2 linked regions of the Mytilus edulis genome follow. The protein of the gene in region 1 binds, or shares a complex with, the protein of each later gene. Links are inferred from orthologs where the notes say so. Each region holds a gene or a part of one and is shown on either strand. Other genes may lie near its edges.

The links.
Region 2: the proteins of target of rapamycin complex 2 subunit MAPKAP1-like (region 1) and target of rapamycin complex subunit lst8-like are in contact, whole or in part, in a cryo-EM structure (PDB 7PE8), measured with the Homo sapiens proteins. The link is inferred for Mytilus edulis from reciprocal best matches to the Homo sapiens genes MAPKAP1 and MLST8. Residues at the interface, in NP_001006618.1 of Homo sapiens: Lys102, Cys103, Lys104, Asn105, Ile106, Gln107, Trp108, Lys109, Arg111, Asn112, Ser113, Lys121, Leu123, Phe124, Glu125, Lys126, Lys127, Ser128, Leu129, Gly137, Lys138, Gln139, Ser140, Ile141, Leu142, Val144, Arg145, Leu146; in NP_001186102.1 of Homo sapiens: Ala29, His30, Pro77, Ile78, Ile79, Ser80, Tyr81, Asp82, Gly83, Arg98, Arg110, Ile111, Trp112, Gln120, Cys121, Gln122, Arg123, Ile124, Asn139, Gln140, Ala141, Leu157, Lys158, Ile203, Glu206, Ser279, Gly280, Asp281, Gln283, Asp322.

What each region holds. Positions count from the first base shown.
Region 1 is NC_092345.1:75,930,026-75,937,214, forward strand, and holds the start of target of rapamycin complex 2 subunit MAPKAP1-like, read left to right. Parts: upstream 1-4,100; 5' UTR 4,101-4,234; intron 4,235-7,189. Other genes in the region: eEF1A lysine and N-terminal methyltransferase-like, read right to left, coding at 5-96. UniProt on the Homo sapiens protein: Component of the mechanistic target of rapamycin complex 2 (mTORC2), which transduces signals from growth factors to pathways involved in proliferation, cytoskeletal organization, lipogenesis and anabolic output.
Region 2 is NC_092352.1:37,093,537-37,100,969, reverse strand, and holds the start of target of rapamycin complex subunit lst8-like, read left to right. Parts: upstream 1-4,347; 5' UTR 4,348-4,462; coding exon 4,463-4,585; intron 4,586-7,267; coding exon 7,268-7,319; intron 7,320-7,433. Other genes in the region: cytosolic Fe-S cluster assembly factor narfl-like, read right to left, coding at 1-220, 602-736, 1,235-1,367, 2,521-2,769, 4,201-4,266.

The DNA of each region.
Region 1 (7,189 bases):
TTACCATTCAAAAGCTTTTGTTCCTCTTTTTTTGAAGAAGTTGTCCCAGTACTCTGGAGAATGAAATTCTGTGTGGCTTTGAGGCAGAAGATTCATCTCATCGGATTGATAAAGTGGATCTTCCTTTCTTCTGTCACTATAATACTGATGGCATGAATACCAATATGAAAGATTGAAGATTCACTGAAATAATCAAATGGTACAATTCATGGCTGAAGGGGATGTGTACAAAACAAAAAAATGAAACCAGGGGTCCCAGTAGAGGTTGGCAATGTAAAGAGGCTTAAATTGTTTTAAAAAATATAATCTTTTCTAGTATTAGATTTTCTTTTAGATAGTTTTTCAGCCCTGCAAAATTTACTTGATTTTCACACATTTTTATAGTTTGTTTTTATGTTGTGCTGTTACACCACTGTAACAGGTAAGGGGAGAGTTGAGCGTTCACATGCATAATCCCGTTTACCGGTATTTCTTTATGATGCAGTCAGACTGTCCCATGTCAGGAGCCTGTAGGTCAGTGGTTGTTGTTGGTTTATGTCAGTCATCTTTGTTCATAATTGTTTATTATACATAAGGTCAATAGTTTTGTAATTGTAATCGACATTACATATTATTCAAGAAGGGGCATTTCGTAGCCATCTATTTTGTAAGGATTTTCTCATTAATTATTAAGGCCATATGGTCATGATGGTTGCCTATATTTGCTTACAGCTTTGACACATGTTACCAAGGGATCATTTTCTTACAGAGTCTGTTCACCCTCCTTATCAATTAAAAGTCATTCTAGATCTTTACTGTTAAACAAATGATGTTTGGTAATTATTAATACATGTTATCAATCATGTATTTATGACTATGTGTATATTTGGAAAGAAATACTGTTATCTATACTTTGTTTAGAACTGATGTATTCAAGCGCGGATCCAGAGGGGGGGTTCTGGGGGTTGGAACCCCCCTTTTTTTTTACCGATCAATGCATTTGAATGGGAGCATATAGCTGGAACCCCCCTTTACTCTGGGATGGGAAACCCCCCTTTTTATTACCCGTACAGAAATTGCTAACAAAAGCACATAAGTTTCACATGTGAAGCACATGAGATGCAAATAAGAATTGTATGCAAATCAGGTTGATCATATGTGCAGTTTGGTAGTTCATATGTGCCCACAAAAATCTAACATAATGCTCACATGTGCAATTCAAACCTCAGGTGAGCTTTTATCATCCATGTTAGTTTTATGTTAGTTTTGTACTTTGAAAAGTTTTTCCATTCTTCTAACCATTCAAAACTAACCTACATCATTGCTCATATGAGCTTTTTCAAAATGACATGCCCAGTCATGTACTTCCTGTAAATTCAAATTCATGAAAAGCATGCAATAAATGAAGGTAGATGGATATGGAAAATGTTAAGTCCTATATTGTGCTATTTGAAGAAAGGCATTGTTGAAATCTGATAAAACCAGTGTGGCTGTGGTTAATTATTTTTGTAAGTTATCATTTCTATTTCATTATTTTCATTTTTGTGTCAGATTTTGAAATATATTACAATTTTAAGTCCTTTATGGGAATATATATACAGGTTGCTTCAAAATAAGTACTACATGTATAAAGATTTTTCCTTTTAAACTTTTTGAAATACAGTACTTATTAATCAAAGATATTCATTGTGTACTAAACTTGCAAGTCCCTCTATTAGTTTTATAATGTAATGTTATGTTTTTAGTCATGATCATGATTATTGTTTAAATAAATAAAAAAAAAAAATCATATGAAAATCATAATTAACTGACAATAATTAAAGAATAACTCTTTTTACATGATGTATCAGTTATTTTATTTTCAACTGAATTATTTAAGATTTTCATTTAAATTTGAAAAATATTCATTTTTTAAAGCAGCCATTTTGTTTTGGTCAACTATAATATTCACGTGTGCAACATGTTAGCAACTGCTCATATGAGCAATCTAATAAAATGCACATGTGAAACAAAAGCTCATATGAGCAGTTGCACGTGAGGTTTTTAACATGCAAATTAGGTTAGTTTCATATGTGCAATTTTTTTGCTCACAAAATGCTCACCTAATTTGCATGTTAAAAAACTCGTGTGCAATCATGTTAGTTTCTAACGTGAGCATCTTATGTGCAACTTATGTGCAACATGTTAGCACTTTTTGGTAAGGGAATGGCTGGATCCGCCCCTGTGTATTTGTATGTTTTTTTAATATTTGTGGGTCTCTAGTCTTTTTTGTGGTGATTATCTTGTACATGTGTATGTGTCTGTTGGTTATTTGTTTCATACATAAGTACTATCATGAAATAGAATTTCCTTTATAAAATAAGTTCCAAGATTTCCAAATGGAAAAAAAAATATTAAGCAGTAAAATAATTTTCATTGGAACAAATATTACAGTATTTTTCCTACAGGAATAATGATGACATGATATTTGTTCAAACAGCTGAATAGAAATATATGTATATTATATAGTATTGTTTAAATTATAACAAAGTTCACCATGAAGTTTCCAGTTGAACTTTTGATAGGCAAAACAAATATGGGTTTACTGTGATGCATGTAATTATACTAATAATTAACGGATATGCTCAACAGAAACTTTTGATAAACAAATATACAATATGTGAAATAGTCTTCATTTAGAGTTAAAGCCGAATAAAGGAACTAGCTTAAACCATGCAGTAGCTAGCAGTCTAAATAGTGACAATACTCTTAGCTTACATGTAACTCGTAGCTATCCTATTGGTTTTTGAACTCTACATTTACACACTTACATGACTTAACATGCTTAAAGAGCAGTTCACTGAAGTATAGATTTTATACATCTGACATGGCAAAAAAAAAATGGACTAGAAGTGAAACTGGGAGACAACTACATGAACTAGTTCCTACTGTGAGTAAGACCCATTCACTTGATTATGAGAATCCATAGGGAGAATCATGTCGAAATTTATAACAGGCAAAGTGAAAGTATACAATAGAGTGAATAGACATAATAAATACTGTCATCAGATAGGCCAATCCCTTACACCATATAGGAATGTGGTGAAGAGGAAGACACAGAACACTTCCTATACTTCGGACTACTGAATTTTAATGTGCCTATTGTTATGCGTTTACTTTTTTGCATTGGCTAGAGGTATAGGGGAGGGTCGAAATCTCATAAACATGTTTTATCCCGCCACATTTTTGCGCCTGTCCCAAGTCAGGAGCCTCTGGCCTTTGTTAGTTTGTATTATTTTTAATTTTAGTTTCTTGTCTACAATTTGGAGTTTAGTATGGCATTCATTATCACTGAACTAGTATATATATTTGTTTAGGGGCCAGCTGAAGGACGCCTCCGGGTGCAGGGATTTCTCGCTGCATTGAAGACCTGTTGGTGACCTTCTGCTGTTGTCTGCTCTATGGTCGGGTTGTTGTCTCTTTGACACATTCCCCATTCCATTCTCAATTTTATAAATCATTTTAATTTTACAAGATACCACCAGAAAAGAGAATAATGAAGACTGCTGGAGATTCAAAACATCCAAATAGTTTGTCAGACACTATAGCTACTAGCAACAGAAAGGAAATAGACATTTGAAAGAAAAGCAGAATAATTAAAGAGTTCAGAGCAATTTGAAGATTCAGTTAGCTCTGAATTATAGATTAAATGTACTAATGTACTCCAAATAATGATAACGTCTTGAAAGGCTATTACATTTTTTCTCTTTAATTCTGTCAAATATGCCTTACATCAACGCAGGAAGGCATCAAAGCAAAAATTAAAATAGCCTTCCAAGACGTCATAATAATTTACTTATACTGAATTACCCTTTTGGACTAACCTGCTATATATATATATATATATATAGCACATGTATGATGTAGCATGTGTAGCTTCAGGAATAGAAGTGTAAATCAAGACAGAATTAAAATTAAGAAGAACCAACGACTTAAAGAAGATAAAAATATATATATTATTCTAAGCTTCATAGTATAGTAGATTAGAAATACAATACTATTTTTCTGAAGTATTACCTGAGGCTGAAACACCACCAATCAACAAATTCCGTTTTATCGTAACTTCTCCGGTTACGTTCCGAGTTTTATTTTTATCGTAATTACCTCCCTTGTCTTAGCCTGCGGCCACTTTGTTTTGGTTTTTACATTAAGTTAAACAACTTAATAACACCAAATTTGTATTCAAGATGTTCATTCCATCAATTGTATAATACAAGTAAGACATTATTGTCACGTGAAACAGCTGGGTTGGTTGATATTTGATTCATCAATATTAATGTGAAACTGGTGTATGATCCTGCTGAATCCTAGTCCAAATAATTATGACGTCTTGAAAGGCTATTATAATTTTTTGGAAAATGACGCAGTCATTGTTCCATTACTGGCGACCTGAACTTCATTACATTCTCTGCCTACCGCGCTTGGTTTCGTATTTACTATTTTCTATACAAACTGGAATTTGCTTGTGTTATCATTATGCATGAGAGGTCATTGTGTAGTAATCAGCCAGGAACCAGTTTACAAACTAACTGGTTTCTACTTGTATTCCACTACACTCGAACAAAGTGTTGTAGTTTGACGGGAACCAGTTTAGAATTTGTAAACTACAAAACGTAATCGGTTATTGTTCATTCCGTTTTGGTGTTTCATACCGACTTTTATGGTTTGAATAAGCTTAAGACCCGTCAAACATTAATGTGATAGGTATATTAAAGACTGTTTTACAAAAGGATGGAACTGTTTTGCTTTCAAAGTCGTACTATAGTGATATCTGTTATGTACGGATTTCCACTCTCACCGGTTAATTTCTTCTTTTACACATGCTTTTGAAACTTCCTGTTTAAACATCGCAAGTTTTAAAATTGTAAAACATAGTGAGTGAATTTAACTTATTTTAACAATCATGAAGCGTTCCAGAATCATTTTCAAGCAGTTTCTTCTTCTCTTTGATGATGGAAAATAGGTTTTTCTCAAGAAAATACCGCAAACGATCGCAGAGGAATTGAAACGTACAAGTCAAGTCGGCACCTGGTTAAATTGGCATCTAGTCAAATCGGCACCTATTTGACGTCAATTCGGCATCCAATAATATTTGTTATAATATTTTCTATTCAATTAATTAATAACTGTTACCAAGTACATAGTGAATATGTTGTTGTGTATTTAGGTAAACAACGAAACCAAAGTGAACTATGTTGTTGTGTATAAAGGTAAACAACGAAGCCCTTACCCAAGCTGTTGTTTTAACAATTAGACAATTATTAAAATAAAATGGAAAACTATGAGTCCCTTTCAATAAATCAAACTTTCATGCCAAATAATAAGCAAATTTAAGGTGTTTTTTTTCAGTAAAGTTTAAAAAGCATTAAACAAACAATCCTGTAAAATGCTCAACTGGTTTAAATAATGCATAAAAATATCCAATATCTCATGTATTAGTCCAAATAATTATGACGTCTGGCAAGGCTATTTTTTTTTCTGTGATGTCTTCCTATGAAGTTCGTAGGAAGGCGTCCCAGAAAAAAATAAACATAGCCTTGCAGTCATAGAAAGGTGTCCCAGAATAAAATTTAAAAAGCCTTGCCAGACGTAATAATTATTTTGACTACTCATATATATATCATTAAAAATACACCAAAAAAGTCATTAAGTTGAGAAAAATAAATATATACAAAATGTACATGAACACCCAAAAATGTGAAAGTTAGTATTTAACATGTTTAACTCTTTTTGCTTAAATACTGAAAAAAATCCTGGCAACCCCTTACTTATTTTTACTCTTTTTGCTTAAAATACTGTTAAAATTTATATTTAATATGGGTGACAAATTGACTATATCAGGTGTCGATTTAACCAGGTGCTGATTTGTCCAGGTGCCAATTTAACCAGGTGCCGGTTTGACTAGAATTCTTTGACAAATGTTTGAAATTACCTGAGTTTCATTAAACCTTTGATAACAGTAACAAAAAGATTATTTACTTAATATTTTGTGGGAGAAGGGGGTTCAGACTATGTGGTACCAGGTCTGTTCGCGTCCAATTCACTTTCGCACCCTACACGTTCGCACCTCGCACGTTCGCACCGAAGGTCCGTTTGCACTCTACTCATTTGCGCCCAATTTTAATTCAAATTCAAGTTGAATAATTGGAAAATCATGATTGTTGTTTTAAATTGCTTTGGTGTAAATACTGAATGTATTTATAGCTTGGTATGAGTAAAACATTGAAGATTTTAAAGGAAAACACAAAAGATAATTGTTTTTAACAGCTTGGTCCCTTTGATCTGAAACAACGAAACAATAAAATATAGGAACCAAAATATAGCAATCCACTATTATAACCAAAACATGATAAAATCTATTCAACACACAGAAAAAAACATAGTCAGAATCTCACTTCATTTTGAAAGAAGTCAATGAAACAAAGTTATAGCAATACACTAACCAAAACATGATTAAGAGTTATTCAACACAAAATAAAACGTTGACAAAATACCACTTTATTTAGAAAGGATTATTATAATTTTTAACAATACGCTATCTAAAACATGATTAAGATTTATTCAACACAAAAAAACAATGACAACAATTATACTTATAAGAAAACACTTGCTTACAGAGTTATTAAACACAAAACCAATTAAGATTGGGTGCGAACATGTAGGGAATGAAAGTGAAAGGGGCGAACATGAGTGGGCACGAACGGAACCGGATTCAGACTATGTACCAGTGAGAAATATACAAGCCTTTCTACGGTATTTATTTGTACAATTCAGGTAGTCTTGACCTATTCATTTGTCTTAAAAAACAGCCAGTTGTCACCTTCACTTCACACACACACATATATATACGAATATCAATAATATGCTTACGAGACATGTTGCATTGTTAAACTAATTACGGTATGTGAAAATCAAGACTTGCATAAAAACTATCCCAATATTAGAGACAGTGGCGTCATTTTTCTTCAGAGCTTTCAGCTCTTTGATTTCTTTGACGCCTTACATCGATGGACTAGCTGAATCCATGATATCTCGGCCTATAACAAAATCGGACTATAACAAACTCGGTCTATAACATAATTGGCCTCCCAAAATCGGACTATACCTAACTCGGACTATACCAAACTCGGACTACTAGAAGAATACAAGTATGATGTTGGTTGGTTGTTGT
Region 2 (7,433 bases), on another chromosome or scaffold:
GTACTATAGATGTCATTGTAGAAATCTGATCTTGATGCTTCTAGTTTCTTATCAAAGCATGGCATGACTGTCACATGATAGATCAGGTTGGCTGGTACCCCTCTACTGGTTGCCATGTAATCCTTGACTAGAGAACCCATTATCTGCTGAGGAGATTTAGTTGTACTAATGTAGGGTAGGATGTAATGTCCATGTGTTTTCTCTGCATAGCAAATCCAACCTGAAGTTTTCACAAAAATATATTTATAATTTCATATAAATTGTACATGAAAATGTACTATTAAAATTTACATGTTGTTTAAAGAACATGTCATTCTTCCCATCCTTATGGATAATCTGATTATTAACAATGGACAGCAGTATTCGTCTGTTAGTATTGTCAATGATTGTAGTTGGTATCATTGATAAGACATTCTAAATGGAATGTTATATTTAATTTTCAATATATTTTTTAATGATATGAAAGTATAATATACTATTTTTTCATGATGACATAATGTGTACACCGGTGAGCCAAATGATACCACTGGTGAATCTTACTATTAATCGATGATAATATACATTGTGTCTTATTTTGAATTTTAACTTAGATGATATAAACCTGGACAAGCTGATGACAACATTGGTAAAGCTGTTTTGTTTGTTTCTGATTCCTTATATCTTTGTACAAATTCTCTGCAACTCTCTAACAAACTGAAGTTCCTGGAAAATGTGGTATCAAAAACATAATGTACACCTGAAAATATAAATTAACAAAACATTGAAAATTAACACATTTGCAGCATACACAATGTTGTACACAAAACCATATTTTTTTCTTTGTTGAACAAGTTGATAATTTCTGTGTACATGTGCTGGAATAAACAGACTACTCTGAATGCATGTTTTCAATTTTATTAAACTTTCCTAGCAGATAATCATTCATTGCCTAAATATTGTTCAACTAAGTGTACAGTTGCAAAACCCACCTGTTGTAAAGAGAATTGTTTTATTTCAAATGACCCCTAAATAAAATTTGGACACTTGTATGGTATTTATTTTAGCAAAACCCATTAAAACTTGCATCATGTTATTGGGTACTAAATTCAAATTTGTTTTGGGAATTTTAATCATATTATTATATTCCTAAAATTTCATTACCAAACAAGGGTTTGGAGCTGTCCTTTGTTAAATTTGCTTGTCTCAATTCATTTTTTCTTGTGAAGAAAAAGATTTATAATTTATAGATAATTACCTATTTTCTTGAAGAATCCTGTCAGTTTGGCAGCAGTTTCTTGTACAGATAGTTTATACTTGGCAGCTAATGAGGCTCTACACTGGGGAGCTATTGACACAACTACTAACTTCTGCTGCTCAGCTTGTCCAGTCTAAAATAAAGATGTCATACAAATATCATATAATCACCAACGTGTAAAAGCAAAAACTAGTGATGTTTTTGGATAGAGATAAATGTCTGCACAAATCAGAAATCAGTCCCATAGCTACATGTAGTCATGTAGATCACACTGTACACTTAATCATAAAATTTGGTTTTAGTACACAGTGGTGGATTTTTTATTTGTTTCATTAAAACATATGATTTTTTTTAGCAGTGATTCTTATAAAAAAAGAATTACAACTATTTGCCATCTTAAGGTAAGAAAAGATTTGTCTTTGAAAGAATGGAGTTTCTTTAATATGCAAATGATGTAAAAATGGCATTTTTACTGCTAAATATATCAAATCTTTCTTGAAATATTGCATGCAATGTGTCTTGCTAATAATTTTTTAGCCTCTTTTTTTTACACTTCTTCAATATCAAAAATATACAAATGTTTTAAAGGGAGATAATCTTAAAAATAATAATACATTTGAAATGCAATATATCATCATAATACCTACCGCGGTATATATTAATTCAAATATTGCAATGTGTATTAAATCATTTTAAGCACATTACACTTTTATTATTTTTTCAAAATACAAGTATTTCAAAAGAAGATAACCTAACTTTTGATTCTCATATGAAAGACTGGAGTTATACATGTATCCCATTGTTTGTGTTATACAGTGTTTTAACAGTTTAAACAATCATTCCATAAACTATCACACAATTGACCGTTAACTTATAGTATCTGAGAAACTGACCTTATCATGAACTCTTAATGTTGATCACTTACATATAGCTGTAGACAGGTGAGCCTTTAATCAGCATGTGTGTTTTGAAATAAATCTGCATACAATATATCATGACCTAGATTACTTGTATTAACTGGAAATTAGACTAAAAAACGATAGATTTTTGTGCTGTCATTAATCCATTGAAACAAGGTCAAGGACTAGACAAATTTGAATATGTAAAAAATGTATATAATGATCAGTAGTCCTTGACCTAATGTTCAGGTAACAAAGCATCTGTATTCAAAATACCAATCATACAGATCATTTACCTTCTAAAATATTCATCTTTATACTAAAACAAGCTAGATTAGCAGTATTAACTTCTTTAAATATTAGCTTCAGGCAAAATAATATGTTTACCTCCTGCAATCTCAAATTTTCTTTGAGTACTTTATAAAGTTCCTCTTGACTTTGTTGAGTTATAAGTACACTCTCTGCTGATGTTATACACCCACTACAAGCCAAACAGTCATTCAATGTGATCTTTGCCTTCTCTAGTCTGGTCTCTTGTCCTTCATCATTAACAGACAGATAAGAACCATCATCTTCAATTCTTATTTTACCAACTTTACCAGGTTTTCTGTCAATTTTAACTGGTTTGATACATTCCTTGAATAAATGAGGTAAAAACATAAATTTAAATTAAAAATAAATGAACGCAACTGTTTAATTGATATACATGTACCAGTAATTTGAAATTGATTTTTTTTCATCACATCACATATTTATCAATTATGGACTTTTGAAAAGGTCAATACATTATATATCATGTATATATGTACCTGTTCAGATTATATTGACCTAGGACGAAGTCTAATAGAAAATATTAGAGCATAAATATAAAGCTAGAATGGCAAAAATCCTGTACTTATTTAACTTGATATAGGAAGACAGTGGTATGAGTGCCAATGAGACAACTCTCCATCCAAATAACAATTTATAAAAGTAAACCATTATAGGTCAACGTACGACCTTCAACAGGGAGCCTTGGCTCACACCAAACAACAAGCTACAAAGGGCCCCAAAATTACTAGTGTAAAACCATTTAAACAGGAAAACCAACAGTCTGAGTCTAATCTATATAAAAAACTTGTTTACATCTATGCTAACTTTAATAGGGATGCAATTCACAACACTTATGAAAAGGGTTAACTGCTGTTGAACAAAGGTCTGCCAATTCACTCCACTAATGAACGATCATAAATCATCAATGACTTTTGACCAGCAAGACCGAAATATAAATGACCTTTATCATTTTATAAATTTATATTATCATGATTTTACCCTTTTTCAAAAAATAAGGCGAGAGGGCAGGTATTATGTTGTGCAACATTTGTATGGGGACAAAGTCCCCTTTTACGGTAGAAGAATAAAAAAAAATAAAAATTGGGAAAATTTCTAAAATATTTCATTCTACTAATGAACTCGAAATCGTTAACCTTTTTTTCAGACTTTTTTTTAATCCCCGCATCTGCACAGAAATCTACTTCCTTTTGCAGTCTTGTTTGCATGAGACTTTGAATAAAATATATATTTATCAGTCTAGTAAAATATATAGAAAGGAACTCAATACTAATTCATTTTAAAAAATTGTTTGTTTATATGAAAAAACGTTACATGATGACAGCGTTTCTTTGTTAACATGGAATATGACGTTATAACTTAAATAACGTCACAAATAAAATCGCTAATAACAGAAACCAAAATTGGAAACGTCACGGTATTTCTGTTTCTCTTTTTTTTTTTTACATGTTTGAATTAAAAAAATAATGCATGTATACTTCACAGGTAATGCCTGCCTCATATTAAGGGGGGGGGGGTAACCATAGTAGAGCGATTTGATAGAAAAGTGGGGCGAGTTGGTGAACAAGAATGGGGCGCTTTTGCAGTGGGGCGAGATGTCTTGTTTCACCAAAAGTCATTCGTACTAAATTTTGACCCCTCAAAGAAACATAGAATTAAAAAGTCTTTAGCATCAAGGAAAATAACATGTCTACATAACAAACGAACTGTTTATACTACAAAATTATTATGTTTAACCTGTGAAGGTGTGATAAAATCGTTCAAATCTGTTAGCTGTAGGGCTCCACTGAAGTTGGAAGCCATGTTTTTAGTTAAATTAGATGACCAATAAGAGTCGTCGAGACAATCCAGACCGCTAATCAAAATATTTCTAACAAGTGCGTTTGACAGTATTTATTTACTTCCGGTTAAACTTTATTTTGCAAGGCAGCTTGAGACAACATTTTAAAAGATGATTTCTTGAATAATAGATGTTGTCATCTTTTATTTTTGGTTTAAAATGAACGGATCAAACACAAATAATGATCCAATTATACTGGCAACTGCAGGATATGATCACACGGTCAGATTTTGGCAGGCTTACAGTGGAATTTGTCTGAGAACTGTGCAACATCCAGACTCTGTATCCATCTACAAAATCTGTTATAATTTATTTACCAGTTACCCCATCTGATCAAGTATTTAGATGACCTCTGAAGATTTCCAATGGTCATATAACCAAATATAAACATAAATATGGACACTTACACAAGTTATAACAACCTAATGCAGAGTAATTGTATGAATAGTAAAAATGATAATACATGTAGTGCCATTTTTTACTGCAGCAGATTCTTAATTTGAAAATTTATGTCTAATGTGATGTTCATGGCACATGATCAGATGAAATACATCATTTTCAAAATGTGTAATGAAAGAATATTATACTTATCATGTGTATTCAGAGCTTCAGATAAGCTGCGTATTTGCGTGATCACGCAATACAAATAATAAAAAACCCAATGCAATTGTCCATTGCAGGGTTCAATAACCCAATTAATTCAAAGGAAAACCCAATTATATTCCAAAACCATGAGTTCTCAACCCTTTTATTGGCTACCATTTGCGTTATTTACCCTTATCTGTTGCGTAAACTATTTTTATAATATTTATAATTGGAAATTTCCTTTCGTTCTAAAAATAGATCCCTGCATCAAGTAGCTGAAATGGGTCCCTGTTAGAGTTTTCCGTTGCTCAATAGGTACACGTGTTTTTGAAAACATTTCGATCTTCTCGGCGTTTATCCAATAAGCGTGTGTCATGAAGTCATATTTTTTTCGCATTGCTCGGGATTTATCATAACATACATTGAATTAAAACAAAAGTGAATGTCCGGTAAAAATATTGAATAGAAGCATATTTTCTGCTTCTTTTGAAAAGCTTAGGGAAAGTTATGATGATAACAAGACTCAGCCAGTGTTTTTAGGAAGCGTCCATCGAACACACGGGCGTGTGTGCGTACCTTAACGAGAACATTTCTAATAAAAGCAGGGTTTCCTCAAAAACGAAATCAGTTGGAAAGATGAAAGGCCAAATCAATTTAATATAACATGATAAAGCATCAGAAACCAAAAGTTCTAATAAAAGACAACTAAACCCAGATTTATGAAAATTGGAATAAAACAAAAACATTCAAGTATAATTAGAGTTTATATACTATTTTTTTTTCATTTTACGGTTAATTTATAATGAATATATACACACACAGGCACTGGTCTCAGAATTTATTACATAAAGGTACAAGACGAGTGCCTGTGAATACACATATCCGTTTTTTTTACAGTTTATATGAGAAAATACAAAACTGGCAGAAGGTTTGGAATGGAACACAAATTAAACCTACAATTGCTTCTCAGTCAATAAACCAAATAAAACAGCTAGCAAATAACCCTATAAACCCTAAACCAAATAAAACAGCTAAACAAAGAAAGAAACATATTTAAGATGGAAAAAAATCTGGGGTTGATATTGCCTAAATATTCAATATTGTGTTGATGAAAAAACCCAATACATTAAGAAGCTTGGTGTTGAAAAACCCAATTTGATATTAAAATGAGGGGTGAATTGGAATTGATAATGCAATTAAAAAACTTTATCACCCAATTATATAAGAAAATGGTGGGTAAAAAACCCAATTTGTGAATTCTTATCTGGAGCTCTGTGTATTACTAATTTTTATTTGATCTGTAAAATTAGTATAACTTTATCATTGTTATTACAGGGTGTTTTACGTTACTGATTAATAAATATCATGAACCCTAGCAAAGCGACTTTAGTTTTCCTTGAGGCCTAAAAGTCAGCTATTACATTAGCATGAACTGTTTGCATTAAAATATTGATGATAACATTATGAAAACTAAATTTTGAGGATAATTTTTTATGCAATAACATCTTATTCTGTTGTTTACAAATAATTTTCATTCATTGTCATGAGGATTCAGTGGAGGGTTAGAAGATAATTTGAAAACAGAAAACAGACCATAATTAGGTTGGCCTACATGTATGTATATAGAAAAAGTCCTTGATTTTAAATTAGAATTTAGATAGATTTGGAATTTAGAATTTGACAACCTGATAATGTCATCAAATTGAACATCTATTTAATGAACCAACATCCATTAGAGACTAGATGTTGAATCATAGTCTAAACAAATAGACTATAGGTAGTCAAAATGGTCAATCACCTCTGCGCTATGTTCCAGTTGTGTTATAGAGGTCACACCTCAACCTTCCCTTTTCATGTTAATAAGGGTGGCAAGATATATTAAATAGAATAGAATATTTTTATTTCCTAAATTACATGGCCCATAAAGTGCATAAAATCAGTATACATAAAATCAGGTACAATTGATTGACATAATTGGTAACCATGGTAACAACAACAATAATAGTCACAGAGTACATGAACAACATTCATGACATTCAAATTGTGCATTAACTTGTAGATTTTCTATGTCACAATGCATATGTAATACTTCACAGTAGAAGTCGCTTATTCAATAAAATTATTTCCACAGCTTGCCTGAACAATCTGTCAAAACCATGTACAATTATGATTTTTTTATGTTAAATTTTTTGTATTCTTATAAACAAAGATTTACACCATACAATGTCAAAGTTGAATAAAATGGTTTTTTATGTGATTTTAGCTGAAAAAAAACATCCTCTAGTTTTCGAAGCGATAGATAAATTATCATATATCATGTGCCATATATATTCAGCACAATTCTGAGCTGCCTGTGTTTTTCCTTAATTTGTTTTCTAGCAAGTAAATGCATTGGAAATCACTCCAGACAAGCAATTGATTGCTGCAGCTGGTGAGTTTGTAAAATTTATACAAAGCATACTCATTTACAAGACTTAAAAACCAGTTGTAAGCAAGTTTCAAATAGTAAAATTCCCTCATCCAGAAAACAAGGGTATATTTATAT